Lepisosteus oculatus: one gene and its partner. The protein of the gene in region 2 purifies or fractionates together with the protein of the main gene of each other region. This does not show direct contact. Links are inferred from orthologs where the notes say so. Each region holds a gene or a part of one and is shown on either strand. Other genes may lie near its edges.

Region 1 (7,298 bases), on a different chromosome or scaffold from region 2:
GCTTAAACACAATTATGAAAAAGAAAATAAGAAACTCAGTCTTCCAAAATGAATATGACGTTATATAAAAAATAAAACTCAGCTTTATCTTTAAACTCTTTTTTTTAACAAACGTGGCAGCAACACAACAGAATAATGCCTTCTTGTCGCGACAATGCCTTTACAATGTGACCCGCCCAAGCAGGGATTTTAAAATCGGTCAATTACGCAGTTGCTAAGTGCTTACACAGGTGATGGGTGTGTCAGAAATTTGGCATAAAAGCGACAAGCCACCAGAGCGGTAGGGCCAGTGTTTTGTTTGACAAACAAAAGTACCAGCACTAAATCACAGGAGAAGGTAAGTATTTTCACCTCCTATTTCAAGTGGTTTGTTACCTAAAGAACAGAATGCTACGCACACGAGGGATCTTTCTGAGGAGTACACTGCATTAGATTTTGCTTATTATTTGATTGTTGGTGCATTTCCTGATCCTTATCGCGCTTTGGCTTCGAAACAAATGCTTACAGACCTGTATAGAACGAGACCAATTATTGCTATATGTGGAGATTTGTGAAACGCTTTTATTATAAAGGTTAATATGGTAAAGCAGATAAATTGTAGATATTCTTTATGAATATCATTTAAACTTTTAGGCTTCGTTTATATACATAGTGTGTATGTTTCTTGTACTTGTATTATACAGTTCAACTTCCTTTATTGCGTGATATGGAAAAGACCCTTGCAAAAATCGTTAGAAACTGTTTCCTGACTTTTTAAAACTTCCTGATTTTTATTTTGTTATGCTATAGCATACTAAATATCTTTTCAGTGATGGATTGACTGCCACCATTAAAATAAATTTAACCTTTTATATTTAGATAAAGACTTGTATTAAAGTGATGGAGACTAGACTTTGAGTTATGTCAACATTTCTAACACTCAACATCCCCAGCTCATGAAATGTTCTTTGGTTAGAATGACTCTGTACACTTTGTGATGTTAGTCTTCATTTTTTCTTTTCAGTTTATTACTTCAGACTAATCAAGAAGCATGGGATTGGTGTGGTACAGTTTCTGTGGGCTTGTGTGCTTTGCATTCCTTAAGGCCTCCACACAGATGGTGGGGGATATTCGAGAGGCTTCTGTTGACGACCCAGGAGTACTTAAAAGTGCTCAGTTTGCGGTTGATGAGTATAACAAAGCAAGCAACGACATGTACCTCAGTAAACTAATTGAGATAACTTATGCAAAACAGCAGGTAACCAGCATTTCTTCTTCATCATTTCATTTGTTGTTGTTGTTGTTACTGCTTTCATGACATTTCTTTACATTTCAATAGGTTGTTAATGGGATTAAATACTACCTTGGTGTTGAACTGGGACACACAGAGTGTGAGAAAAGGAACTTCTCTGATGCGTGTTCTTGCAGTTTGCCTCCCAGTCAAGATCAGGTGAGAATGGGTTGTCCTCCTTTTGTATCGTTTAGGCACATTAAAAAGTATTGATATTTGGAATGCATACCTGTTGAAATTGTTTTTGCAAAATAACTGAGTTTCTTTTTTTCCCCTGCTCCCTTTTAGACAATATTTTGCCGTTTTGAAGTTCTAGTAGTTGCCTGGAGAAATGAAACAACCCTGTTGAGTATGAGCTGTTAGCCTGAAAGCTATTGAAAATTTGCACACAAGTGTAAATGAGCTATGTTCAGAAGTGGAAGAAACTTGAAAAGCACCTGTTTGAAAACTATTAATCTATTTCCTTTTACCTCTTTGGCAATGTTAATGGTGTTCCCTAATGTTCAAGCGATCTGCATGTGAACCAAATTGATTTACTTTTACTTTTCTGCAGTTTTAGAGTTGCAAAGAAACTTTGTAATGTATTATGGAATTTCACTGGACAACTTCATTTTCACATTCTGTTGGCTTATGTTTACTGCATATCTCTTTCAGGCATCTTTGAGAAACCAGTTTCATGGCATGTTATTCAGACAAAGTCCTGTAGTACACTTTGCAGTGAGAACTATGTTTAACTCTGTTATTCCTTTCGAGGAGGAAACACAGCTTTTAAAAATGTCAACTGATACAATAAATTCTGCTTCAAAAATTGTAAGACTGGTTAATTGAAGACCATTGCCTTATGCCCTTGTTAAATGAAGCCACTGGTGTTTAACTTGCTGATTTAATTAAACATGGAACTTTTTCTCTTAATTTCTTAACTGCCCATAAGTGAAAGAATTTACTGGCACCTGAAAGTGACTTGGTAGACTGTCATTATTGGGGGAATTACTGATTTATACAAGTTTAAAAAAACTCCTCAATTTTTTGAGGTTCCATTGGCAGAAATTGTAGCCATGCATCTCTCTACATTATTATTGCATATCTGGATACTGCAATTTTTGTTAATCTTTTTCAAATTCCAGACATTAAATCAGGGAAGTGGTGATCTAAATGGTAAAGAATCATCCACTGGGATTTTGATCCTCTTCTTGTAAAGCCTGGATCTGCATATCTTGTTTATTGGTCTATGAGCTATATTGACCATTCTTGTTCATTCTCCAAATCTTGCATAAAGCTCAAATTCTCATCTTGCAAAAAAAAAAAAGTAATTGCTACAGGAGTAGCATGAGGATGTGTGTTATCACTTAATCTGCTCAGTCACAGGAATTGATCAATTTACAGCCATGCACTCATGTTTCATCAATTACTGCCAGTTGAGTTCTCTACTGATTGGACCCTGTGCCTCCCTGTCAATTGGTCTGCTGTACAGAACAGTGCTTTTTTCCACGTGTCTGTACTATATTTGCAGTTGGAAGTTGGACTAAGACACCTCAGTATATCGGTATACCATTGATGGTAAGAAGGCACGGTTGTCTTGATAAGCAGGACATCCTGGTACCTTTCCCTTTTTTTTTTTCTACACCAATGTTGATATACAAGAACTTAAATCATCAGATTACCAGTGCCCAACCTGTTCTCAAGCGTGAGGTGATTTTGTGCTTATGCAATAGTGCAAACCACTCCCAATTGTTTCAGTTAGGAATTATCAATTAAAGGAATTTCTAACAAATACAGAAAAATAACAGTAAGGATGTTGTTCTTCAACTCCACCACTCTAACTTCTAATCTTTTATGATGTCCTTTCCCCCATTGCCCCAAAAAAGTAAGATCTATGCTTGCTCAGGTTAATTTTCTTTAGCATTCCTCATCCAGCCCATCTTCAGCTTTGCACCCTTGGGTCATTTCACTTGACATGGGCTCCTAACATCCTCGTTCTACAGCCAGGTGGTTGGACCTTTATTCACATTTCAGTAAACATTTTTGCTTTTTATGGCTGGGTGTTATTTTTCATGAAATCTAAATGATGCCTAAACTGGTTCATATCTAAGGTGTGAATAAAATATATTCATAATTTCTTTTGATACTTAGCATATATATATTTTTAAAGGTAAAGGCTTTGATGGAGACTATAATTTGCATTAAAAAAACATTAGGTGATTTTATAAATCTCTCTTCAATGTATAAATGGTACAGAAAACATGTTATTTTCATCCAGGTACTTTAATTTAAGGCCTAGTGCTTTTAGGTAGTATTGTATTCCTAGGTGTCATATATGTTTCAGATTGTGTCATGTTAAGGGATTCCATTATACCACACTGTATCACTACAACATGGCTCGAGAGTCCTGGAATCAATTCAGACCTGGGTGTCTTTGTGAAGTCTGCATATTCTCCTCTTCACCTTGTTCAAGCTGCTTGATTCAAGTGGTTGACTTGCCACTTTAAATATTCTAATTTGGAGACTTTTTTCCCAGTTCAAGCTAGACTGACTGTGGGACTATAGTGAAACAAAACCCAATTTCCTTAATAGGACAAATAATTTTTCAATATTTTCAAAGTACATCACCTTATGGGGTAAGGTAAATACAGTACTTCTAAGAGGGTTAAGGGTCTTGCTCAGGGGCACATCAGAGTAGGATTCTACTGCCTGCTGTAGGATATGAACTGGCAACCTTCCAGCCAAAGGTGCAGACCCTTAGCCACAGAGCCACCGCACCGCCCAACTACATAAATAATACTGAAGAAAGCTCCATTCCTTCAGCGTGGAATAAACCTTTACTTGTTCCTTTGCAGCCTACGCATGCAGATGCAGCAACCACTTGTACAGAAATAATGCCGATGATAATGACGTTCACAAGCGCTAGGGGGAGCTAATCAGATTTAGCGTTTCTTTCTCTTGACGTGGCGAATTGTAATTGCCGGTGACATCATGAAGGACGTTAACCAATAACGTTTGAGCTGAGGTGGATTTCCTAGACCGGTAGTAACACGTCATTCCACGGGCGTCCAAGTAGCCGGTGTTCACTTCACATTCCTTTCATTCCCAGAGTTATTCCTTCAGTTTGTGTTTTTTTTAATTGTTCTTTCATTCCGATCTTTAGGTGTGATTGACAGTAGTTTCTGTCGTTTTTTTCACGTTTGTCTTCTTTTGAAGGTAGGTTCGGTTTCTTAGTATTTGTAGGCCGCTGATTATCTCGCTAAGCCTGCACCTATCCTAACATTGATCCCGGTATAGGAAGGTAGGAAGTGGGGTGAGGGTTAATGGAGTAGAGCTTGCGAGGGTTAATAAGCACCGTGTTTTAACCTTGCCCGATGTATAACAACTACAGTTTAGCAGCAAGTTATAACATGAGTAGAGTCTTATTCTCTTTGTACAAATTATATTTGTAGGGGGTTAAATGTAAGATACTACTGTGTGTGGAAAACAAATCACTAGATGTGATGAAGAAGGAGAATCGGAATCGCAGTATCAGTTCTTGAAATTGTAAGAGATTTCCCGTATTTGGAAAACCAGTGTAGCTGTTGGGGCAACAGCTTTATTACCAGTTTTTAAATTAACCAGGTTATTGATAGTTCAACATAAAATATGGGAATCTGTAGTTGGTGCCGACCCCAGTTATGTCTACGCCAACATCCTGTTAGCAGGGAGTGGTGTTTGGAAAGGGGAGTCTTCCCCCCTGTTAAATTAGGTTATCTTGTGGCTGTTATCTGTCTGTATTGGGCAGTTCGGTTGTTGCCTTTTGTTTACTGGTGGCAGCTGTTAACAACCACTATTTTCGTTAAGAAAACGGATATCGTTGTTAATTCAAACTTAAAACTGATGGGATTTGTTTACCTTCAGCTGAGACTTGTGTGTGTATATATCCATTTTTAATAAACATGATCTGACAAGCGTAAATGTGAAAACTGACAGGCAGAAAGAGAACGTAGCTCGTTTACTAGTATCAAGCCAATTAAAACGTGAGAACCGCATCAGAATTTAGCCGAGTAGAACATGTTCTTATTCCGTGGAGTAAAGATTCGGCTCATTGTAAGGAATACTTGGTTACTAAGTGGAATTATAGAACGACCAGTGGTGGCTCTGTGGCTAAGGATCTGCCCCTGTGACTGGAAGGTTGCCGGTTCAAATCCCGTGGCCGGCAGAGGAATCCTACTCCGTTGGGCCCCTGAGCAAGGCCCTTAACCCTAACTGCTCCAGGGGCGCTGTACAATGGCTGACCCTGCGCTCTGACCCCAAGCTTCTCTCCCTGTCTGTGTGTCTGTGTCTCCATGGAGAAAAGCTGGGGTATGTGAAAAGATGAATTCCTAATGCAAGAAATTGTACAGGGCTAATAAAGAAACATTATTACATTATTACGTTCGTGAAATGGTAGACTTTACTGAACCATATGGTTGCTGTTGAGAAATGCCCGAAAAAGCGTATTTGCTGGATTTTGCTTAGCACAGGTGTGCTTTCTAAACTGAAAATCCAGGTGTGTCAGCTCTGACGCACTACCTGTCTAAAAATATCCCATTGAAGACGGTTTTACATCCGGAAACCTGTCTAACAGGTTTATTTTGACATCATAGCTGTTTCTTGATTTGTCCATTACGTGCTAGTTTCTGGACTATTAAAGTCACAAATATGCTTTGTAAGTAGCATTTTCTTTGTGGACCTGTACAGTTAAGGAACGGAACCGTAGTACCAGAAAGCTGTTCAGCAGTTGTGTGGGTTGTCATTATTGGTATGTAAATACTGTCTTCTTTTCGACATTTGATCATAAGACCTAGCTGGGTTTCTTAGTAGTATTTACCGCTTAATAGATATTTTCATATGGAACAGAGCTTTTTAATTTAGATTTTTTTTTTTAATTGTCACGAACTTAAAATTGGCTGGATTCGGAAAGTTATTGAATTGGTTGACTTAACCATTTTGAATTTTTATTTGTGATCTGTGTTTACTCAAAAACAAAACTGTTGTCTAAAATACACAAGTAATAGGTTGCCATTTTGCAACTCTTTATGGCTTTTCTTTTATTTCTATTGCTTTTTTAAAACAAGGCACTTTTTTATTTTTCACACATTAATTTCATGGCCAGTACATTTTCTTGCCCAGGAGTGTCTGCACTATGAAAGTTTTATAGGTAACTTAAGAAGTGCCTACAGTAGCAGTGCAGGCCAGTTGAATAATTAAGAGCTCTAGTGACTCTGAATGTTACCAAAGCAAAATTATTTAGATTAACTTTTCAACCTATTATGGATAGATTCAGAGTGAGATAAAATGACTGGGAAGTGTAAGTCTCTGAGAGAGTTCAGGTGAGATGACTCCCAGAGTTTAATATGGGAATGTGTATCGCACCCCTGGAAAAAGGGAAGTACAAGACAACTGGAATGGTAGATGATAAAGAACAAGCGTTTTTTTTTTGGTTGCATCATTTTCGAGCGGCTCAGGTTTATGATCTTGCTCTTTTTATAGCCTGTCAGATCTCATGGCAACATATCAGGAGTTCATCCAACAAAACGAGGAGCGGGATGGGGTGCGGTTCAGCTGGAACGTGTGGCCCTCGAGCCGTCTGGAGGCCACCAGGATGGTGGTGCCCCTCTCCTGCCTCTTCACCCCTCTGAAGGAGCGTCCCGACCTCCCTCCTGTGCAATACGAGCCCGTGCTCTGCAGCAGACCCAACTGCAAAGCTGTGCTCAACCCCCTCTGGTATGCTGTCTGTTAAAATTTCAGCCATGACATTTCTGTGTAATCATACCCACTATGACGTTTTCTTTATGAACCGTTTCACTGGAGTTTCTTCCAGTACTTTCACAAGGTAGGACTGACGGAGCTTAAACAAGAATCCTCAGCTTTGTCTTTTCTGATTCAGAATTGATTTTCACATTTCTTTTATCTGAGGTCCTTTGGATTACTTTGAACCTCATAAAACTGGATTTTGAAGACCGTTATATGCCTAAAATTATGTAACATTGGGGAATTCAAGATACCCTTTTCACTTAATTGG
Region 2 (7,645 bases):
ATCTGTTTATACCTATGCACATTTTGCATATATTTTATTGTTTTTACAGTGACTAAGATCATATTTTGTACACACCTATGTATTTATTTTATATTTACTCTGTATTACTGTACATATTATAATTTGTATTCTATTCCGATGTCTGTTTTTTTGCTTGTCTTGGGCCAGACTGCTGTAACACATCAATTTCCCTTCAGGATCAATAAAGTCTTATCTATCTATTTTGTACACTTGCCACAGTAGTTCTTCAATATTTTTTAAACTAAAGCCATATTATTATTTAAGATTTACAGCTTTTTAGTTAGGGATTCAGTGATTCCACCAAAAGATCTGTCACACCAGTGTTGACAAAGCCTTGAGTTATTTATTCCCAAGTTGCAAGTTTTACAACTGTCAACTATAAGATGACTGCCCCTTCACTAATAAGAGAGGCTGCAAAACATTAAGAATGGCAAGCGAACTTTCTATTCTTATTTAAATGGATACATTATCACATGGCAAAATGAGTGCTGGATCTTTGAACCCAACAAAAATGCAATGATGACATCATTAATAATTTCTTGAGGAATGTACTGAATATTAATTAAGACAGTTTTTATAGAGACTGGGTTACCAACAATAGACCACGATCCTGTGCAAACAAAGTGACTGCATGAATTACAGTATGTGATCTTCAAGTACTGCATATTTAGGAGGCTGGGATATTCTGTGTGATTAACAGGAACACCTCAACATTAAACTGCACAGTTTAAAAACATATTTAAAAGGGGAAATGCAATGTTTTTTTTATATTTTGAGGTTACAAAATCAGTGCCCTTCAAACCACAATAAAAGTAAAATGTACAGTAACTTGTAGATCCTCCAATTTACATCACAAAATAAAATTTAAAGGTAGACGCAGCATCATATTCTGCGATTTGGAACAAGGCAACAAAACGTCTGGTGACGTGTTGGGGCCCTATTACACTGTGAGCAAGCAGGCTTGTGAATACATCTCTTTTAATCCAAGAGAAATACTGCTCTCGTCTTCAAGATGGTTTTGCTGATAAACTGATTGCAGATTATGTTGGAAAGTTTCTGTGGTGAAATGCCGGCTGCACAACCTGTGCTTAATTTGCACATTACATTAGTTATTACAGTGACTAGGGAGCAGTAGGGGCTGCTTTACGTCACAATTCGTGAGAAATCATGCTCTCGTCTATAGCAAGACCAGGGGTGTGCAACAGCACAGCGACATTTCAGTACTTTTACAAAGTTCACGATTGTGTGCTTATTTCGAAATTTGTTCAATTTGTCTATACCGTCAATGAATTTATTTTATCAAGATTTAATAACAAGCCTGAGAAACTGGGACTGCAGCTCGTCTTTAAATATACTCCAAATATCATAGAGAAAGTGGTTTGTGACTTACAAGATAAAGTGTATATTCTGTACACCTAACCCTTTTGGTTAGTAACTCATTGATCAGAAATCTCATCCAGCCATTTCTTGAAGGAAGCCAGGATATCAGCCTCAGATACATGGATGGTAGGTTCATCCATACTCCCACCACTTGTGACTCATTATACTTCTTTCAGTATATGAAAGAAGTATATGGAACCTTCACAGGAAAATTAATATTATATAGAATCATTTTGGCTTCCACAGCAAAAAATTCAACCACCAGTAACTAGACCTCCTTCGTAGTCCTATAGACATTTGTCTTCGGATTCACTGCACACATATAGATTTCTCCACTGGGTTGTGCGTACACTGTGAAGCAGCTTGCATTTCCTAATAACGGGATGGAATTCCACGTCAGCCTCAGGTGTGCGACGTTTCTGTGGCTAATGTAGTCCTCACAAACAGCGTTTAAAGAGCTGCTTTAGGACTAACTTTCTCACCCTCATCTATTGGCGCCCGTCGGTTGCACTGTTGCTCTAAAATAACTCTCAAAAGCATCATGAGTCAATACAATACAATGTAGACGAATCAGGTTATTTTGCAATGGTTAATTTAGCGATTTGCAATTTTCAATTCTTTACTATCGAACACCACAACAAACACCTATACGTTTTTTTGGTTTCCAAACTCTAAATCCTTATTATTCGTGTGTTACAATATTGTAATACAACTTAATTACTGAAGTCGCACTTGCAGTCAGGGTGCCTATCGGGTTTCTAAGTCGTAGAAACTAAAGTCCAAAGCATAAGGACTCTGTTCCTCACTAGAGCTACAACAAACGCAAAATTTAAGATGTTATCAGACGACACCCGCACAAAAATAAGCAAATAGTGAGAAGCTCTCAAATTAATACTCAAATGTTTTTAAGATCAAACCCGACCTTGCGATCTTAAAAAATAGCGAAAAGGACTATCTTCTCCAGCTTTATTTATTTGACACATTTGGAAGGAACGTTTCAATATCGAATAGGGAACATTTAAATTTTTCAAGCAATTTTATAATTAACACCACTGCGAAACCTGCCGTTAAAAGCGGCGACTCGTAGCAAATCGTTAACATGCTGCTGTCGTGTTTAAAGTCAACAAGCAGAGGATATCGGCGACTCATCACATATGATTAACTGAACGTCTGCAACAGGCAAGTGCCGAACTTTCACGAAGCCCGTTTGTACATCAGACTGGGGAGAGTGAAGATGTCCAACTCGCCGATAATCGATGGTCTGATGCCAAACCAGATCTTTAACAGGATGCGCTGTCAGTTCCTTAAAGCCCCCACTTCTGCCGGGGGGGGGGGGAATAATAACAGATCTTGTGCCTTTTAAAACTAGGGTAATCCCGACCCAGTCCCATTATACAAATCTGAACTCAGTGCTGCACCACACCGCTTGTACATCTCGATCCATCTTACCTCTCAAGAACGAGATCGCCGACCTCCTGGAGACGACAAAGAAACAACACAATTCGGCCAGTAAAGCGGAATTAAATAGGAATTCCTACAAGACTGCAGAACCGTGAGGCAAACACACAGCCGCCATCTTCAACCAGAGCTACATCCTGCTAGGCGACGTGTACCTCTAACGTCACAATCCCAAACACCGTGGCGTCACAGTCGAAGGCCTTGAACCATGTACAATTTGCAGTTAATGTTGTAATTTTGCATAATTGTATTTATTTTGGTTGTTGACAATAAAATCATATGCGTCTAAATGATTTAAAAAGAAATATAATTATTTTTAATAGAAAAGAACGAGGCACGATCCGAGCTCTACCGGAAATGGACGATTTATATCGAACAGTGCGCCCCTAGAGTACATCAACGTGTAATGTTTTTGTAAGAAAAGATGAACTTGCATCTGAACCCGAGATATTAAATTGGACCGAGTCCGTTTTTTTAAAGAAAATAATTGACATAGTGTATACACAACCCTGTTAATATAGTCCAGGGCAATACCGGGCTCAAGACCTTATTTCATGCGATGCGATGGATGCTTATAGTGTGACGAACATCGAAATCTGTTATGAGAAAGCAAGTATGTAATTTATCTGCTAATGAACAAATACATTTTATTATCTACGTTTGCGCAAGGAAATGATATTGTGTTATTTATACAGTAAATACACAATTTTTAAATACAGTATACTAAATTTGCAAATCTATAATGTGAACCGTCTGTCTGTGTTTTCAAAGGACTGTTGAGCCTCTTGGGAATTAACTAAGTCTGATCATTGTAAATGTGTTTTCCTGTTCCTAAAGTACTGTAGCGCGACGGGGTTGGCGAGGATGGAAACAGGAACTTAATTAGCTCTATTAGTTAAGAACTCGGTGCTATATTAGTCGGACGTGCGTCCGGCACAGCAACAACAACAGAGGAAGTAAAAACCAGAGAAAGCAGGGTACAACACACTAGGGTCATTTGGGGTACAGGTACGTAGGTATAGGGTGGTAAGTGGGTACAGGTATAAAAGGGGATGCAAAATTGGGGATCGCAGGGATCTGGACAACCTTTACAGTGGTGTACACCTGTTCCAGATGGTCAGTGACACTGGCCAGTGGCTCCCTTAGTACTCGCCCTGGTTAATACACCCATCCTGCCCTTCGCTGCGCACCTTAGCCGAGTGCTGTTCGGCCGCAACGCAACAAACCTGGCTATGTTAAACACAAAATCTTCCAGGCCCCGCGGACGGTGAAATCTGGACCTGGTTGCTCCCCAGACTCCTCTGCGCCCTCCCGTTCAAGTGAGCCCTCGCAAGCCCTGGAGGGAGCCAGGCGGTCTCGGTGCAGAACCACCACCCTCCCTCGCTTCCCAAGCCGTGAGCCGGACACGGTAGCAGAGCTCCCCCACGACCTCCCAGGGTCCCTCCCAGGCCGGCGCCAGCTTTGGGCCGAGCCCCTTGCGGCCCCGTGGGTTATAGACCCAGACGAGGTCCCTCGGTCTGAAAGGAGTCCCTCTGCAGCGCAGATTGTAATACCGCTTCTGCTGCACCCCCGCCTTCCCAGCATGAACGAGGCTGGAGTGCACCCAGTGGACTCCTGCACACCCAGTGGACTCCTGCACAGCGGTCCGGTACGCCCAGAGGGTGAGAGGTAAGTGGCGGTCCCAGTCCCGCTGGTGCCACAAGACGAAGGTGGCCAGTTGAGTGGAGAGCATCCGGTTAAGATGCTCCACCAGCCCGTCGCTCTGGGGATACAGCGAGGTGGTCCACGTTTTTTTAATCCCCAGGCGCTGGCACACCCCCACGAACACCTAAGACTCGACATTCCACCCCTGGTCACTATGGAGCTCCTCCAGCACCCCCAGCCTAGTGAACATTCCCTCCAACAGGGCATCGGCCATGGTGGACATGCTCTGATTCGGGAGGCGGTAAGCCTTGGGCCACTAAAATAATCCACTGCCACCAGGACGGAGCTGTTGCCCACCTCGGTCCCCGGAAATGGGCCCAATATGTCCACCCCCACTTGTTCCATGGGCTCCCCCACCTGGTGCCATTGGAGGGGCGCTCAGGAGGGCCCTTCTGGGCCTCGCAGACCGCACACGTCTGGCAGAAACGCCCCACATCCCAGTGGCAGAGACCCTAATAGAAGTGGCCCTGGAGTCACCGCAGGGTTTTCGCGGAGCCGAAGTGCCCCACACCCGGCTTACCGTGCACCGCCTGGAGAACTGCCCCGCAGAGCGATCGTGGCACTACAAGCTGCCACCTGACCTTGCCGCTGGAGGGTATCCACCCCGTCCCTTACCTCTAAGGCCTCCCACAGAGCACAGAGAGCCTTCATGGACTTGGTGTGAGAGGTGAGCTCCTCCCAACTGAGCTGCCTTCCAATGGGGCACTGGCCCAATGTCGGGGTACTCCCGCTGCTGCTGTGCCAGGTTCACAAGGTCCATACCGAATGGCCGCTTCCCCCCAACCACGGGTGGCCTCCTCACGCTGCTCCCACTGGGCGCAGTAGCGGCAGTCCTCCAGCTCCTTGAAATTTAGCAGCCAGTTGAGGGACGCATGGTCCATCCACAGTTTGAAACTAGTTCCAAACAGGTAGGGCTTGAAGTGGCAGACTGCCGAGACCACAGCCAGCAACTCCCTCCAGGTGACACAATAGTTTCTCTCTGCTTTGCTGAGCGCCAGGCTAAAATATGCAACGACCCGTTCCCCATCTAGACCCTCTTGCGCTAGTACTGCGCCCACCCCTGCATCATGTCAGTATCTAGCACATATGGTAGCGTCGGATCTGGGAAGGCCAGGACAGGGGCCCCCACTAGCACCTTCTGCAGCCCCCAGAAGGCCCCCTCACACTCCATGTCCCACACAAAACGGCACCCCTTCTCCGTAAGGCGGTGCAGTGGGGGGGTGAGGCTGGCAAAGTCCCGGACAAACTTCGGGTAATAAGACGTCAACCCCAGGAAACTGCAGAGCTCTGCTATGGTGTCAGTCACGCACTGCAGCGATCTTCCCCAGGTCTGTGACACCCCTCGCGGGCCAACCATATGACCCAGGAAAGTAACCTTTCCCAGGGTTGAGCTTCAACCCGGCCCGCCGGATGCAAGCCAACACTAACCAGAGGTTCGCCAGAGCCTGCTCGAAACCCTGGGCATGCACGAGTAGGTTGTCTAGATACACAAAGCATTCGCTCTAGTGGACTGATGCCAGCACTCGCTCCATCAACTGCTAAAACGTAACCGGGGCATTACACAGTCTGAAAGGCATGACCGTGAATTACCAGGTGCTCTGGTTTCATCCCACAGCCCAAAACCATGCTAGTAGGTTAATAGGCTTCTGAGAAAATTGGCTCAAGGTGTAAGTGTGTGTGTCTGTTTTTGTTTTCTGTTTGCCCTGCTGAAGGTAGTGTCCCAGGGGTGGTGCCGTGGCTCTGTGGCTAAGGATCTGTGCCTTCTGGTTGGAAGGCTATCAGTTTGCATCCTGTGGCTGGCAGAGGAATTCTGAGCAAGGCCCTTAACCCCAACTGCTCCAGGGGTGCCGTATAAATGGCTGACCCTGTGCTCTTTCCCCAAGCTTCTCTTCCTGTCTGTGTAACTCATGGAGAGCAAGTCGGAGTATGTGAAAACACAAATTCCTAATGCAATAAATTGCATAAGGCCAATAAAGTGATCTTATCTTATCCTGCCTCATGCCTGTTGCCTGCTAGGATAAGCTTTGGCTCCCCCATGACCCTGAATTTGTAGAAGAGTGTAGAAAATGGATGGATGAAAGAGGTTCTCCTAGCTCTTCAGGTGCTGATGAGACCTGTAAACCCCACTGAACAGGATCTAAAACTGGGCATCTCTGCTGCAAATGGTGAATAATCCCATTTCTGTGCAGCTGTAGCTCATTCTTAAACATTACACCATTCCATCATGACAGTTTAAAAGTCTCCTTGAAAGCTTAGTCATAATAATAAATGATAGTTTTATATAATTAATAGAGGTAATAGAGTGGTGAATTTTCATTCCTGGTCAGCACTTCTGCTGATCTAATAGGATTTGTTGCTGCAAAGATTGGTTATTTACAACCCATAATGCCGTGTACTGTACTGAATTCTTCTATGTTTTCTTCTCGCTGTCTCTCACGCTTGCAACAAGGGAAAGTGGTCTCTCCCTTGATGCCTGCGTCCCAACATGACATTATCTTCACAACTAAAGGAAGTCGGATGCTCAGATTGCAGCCATGCGTGCCCTGAAGAAAGCCCCCATGAGCAGGTTAAGGAAATGTTTGATGGAGGAATCAATGAGATCAGCTGAGATCAATGCTCAGCTGTCATGAAGCTCCTTCCTTCTCTCTCCCATGCTAACTGAGCCAGGAGGTAAGACAAATATTTTTCATCAAGAAGGTTTTGAAAGAAAAAGAAAATTTGGAAGTAAAGTGGAAACAGTGAGCTTTTCATTTGGTCTGGAAAGTCAGTTTCCTGAGAAGGAATGTCTAAAGAAGGCCAATGGGATTTTACAGTTACAGTTTCAGTGTAGATTTTAAGTTAACTTTTTGTTCCTGTTACCAAAGCAAGGAGAGGTGTAATGAAAAGATAAGGAGAGGAAATCAAGACATTAATGAGGTGCTGGATGAAGCAGCTAAGATAGTAAAGGTTTACAGAAACTTGGGCCCTGAAAGCTCTGAAGTGATCTAATCATCAGCAGTGATGTAATCCTGTGTCTGCTGTTTTTGTGTGGGAGCGTGGAACAAGCTACCTTGCCCTGTTGTTGAAGCTGAAACCCTGGTTT

Evidence for each region.
Region 1: the proteins of sec16a (region 2) and sec23b purify together in Homo sapiens (affinity purification with mass spectrometry; 3 studies listed by BioGRID and IntAct, with this or other methods). This does not show direct contact. The link is inferred for Lepisosteus oculatus from reciprocal best matches to the Homo sapiens genes SEC16A and SEC23B.

The regions. Positions count from the first base shown.
Region 1 is NC_090712.1:10,771,563-10,778,860, forward strand, and holds the start of sec23b (protein transport protein Sec23B), read left to right. Parts: upstream 1-4,281; 5' UTR 4,282-4,465; intron 4,466-5,701; exon of another isoform or gene 5,702-6,035; intron 6,036-6,766; 5' UTR 6,767-6,779; coding exon 6,780-7,000; intron 7,001-7,298. Other genes in the region: cystatin-2-like, read left to right, coding at 1,031-1,237, 1,319-1,429, 1,559-1,633. UniProt on the Homo sapiens protein: Component of the coat protein complex II (COPII) which promotes the formation of transport vesicles from the endoplasmic reticulum (ER).
Region 2 is NC_090719.1:5,263,467-5,271,111, reverse strand, and holds the start of sec16a (protein transport protein Sec16A), read right to left. Parts: upstream 3,004-7,645; 5' UTR 2,851-3,003; intron 1-2,850. UniProt on the Homo sapiens protein: Acts as a molecular scaffold that plays a key role in the organization of the endoplasmic reticulum exit sites (ERES), also known as transitional endoplasmic reticulum (tER).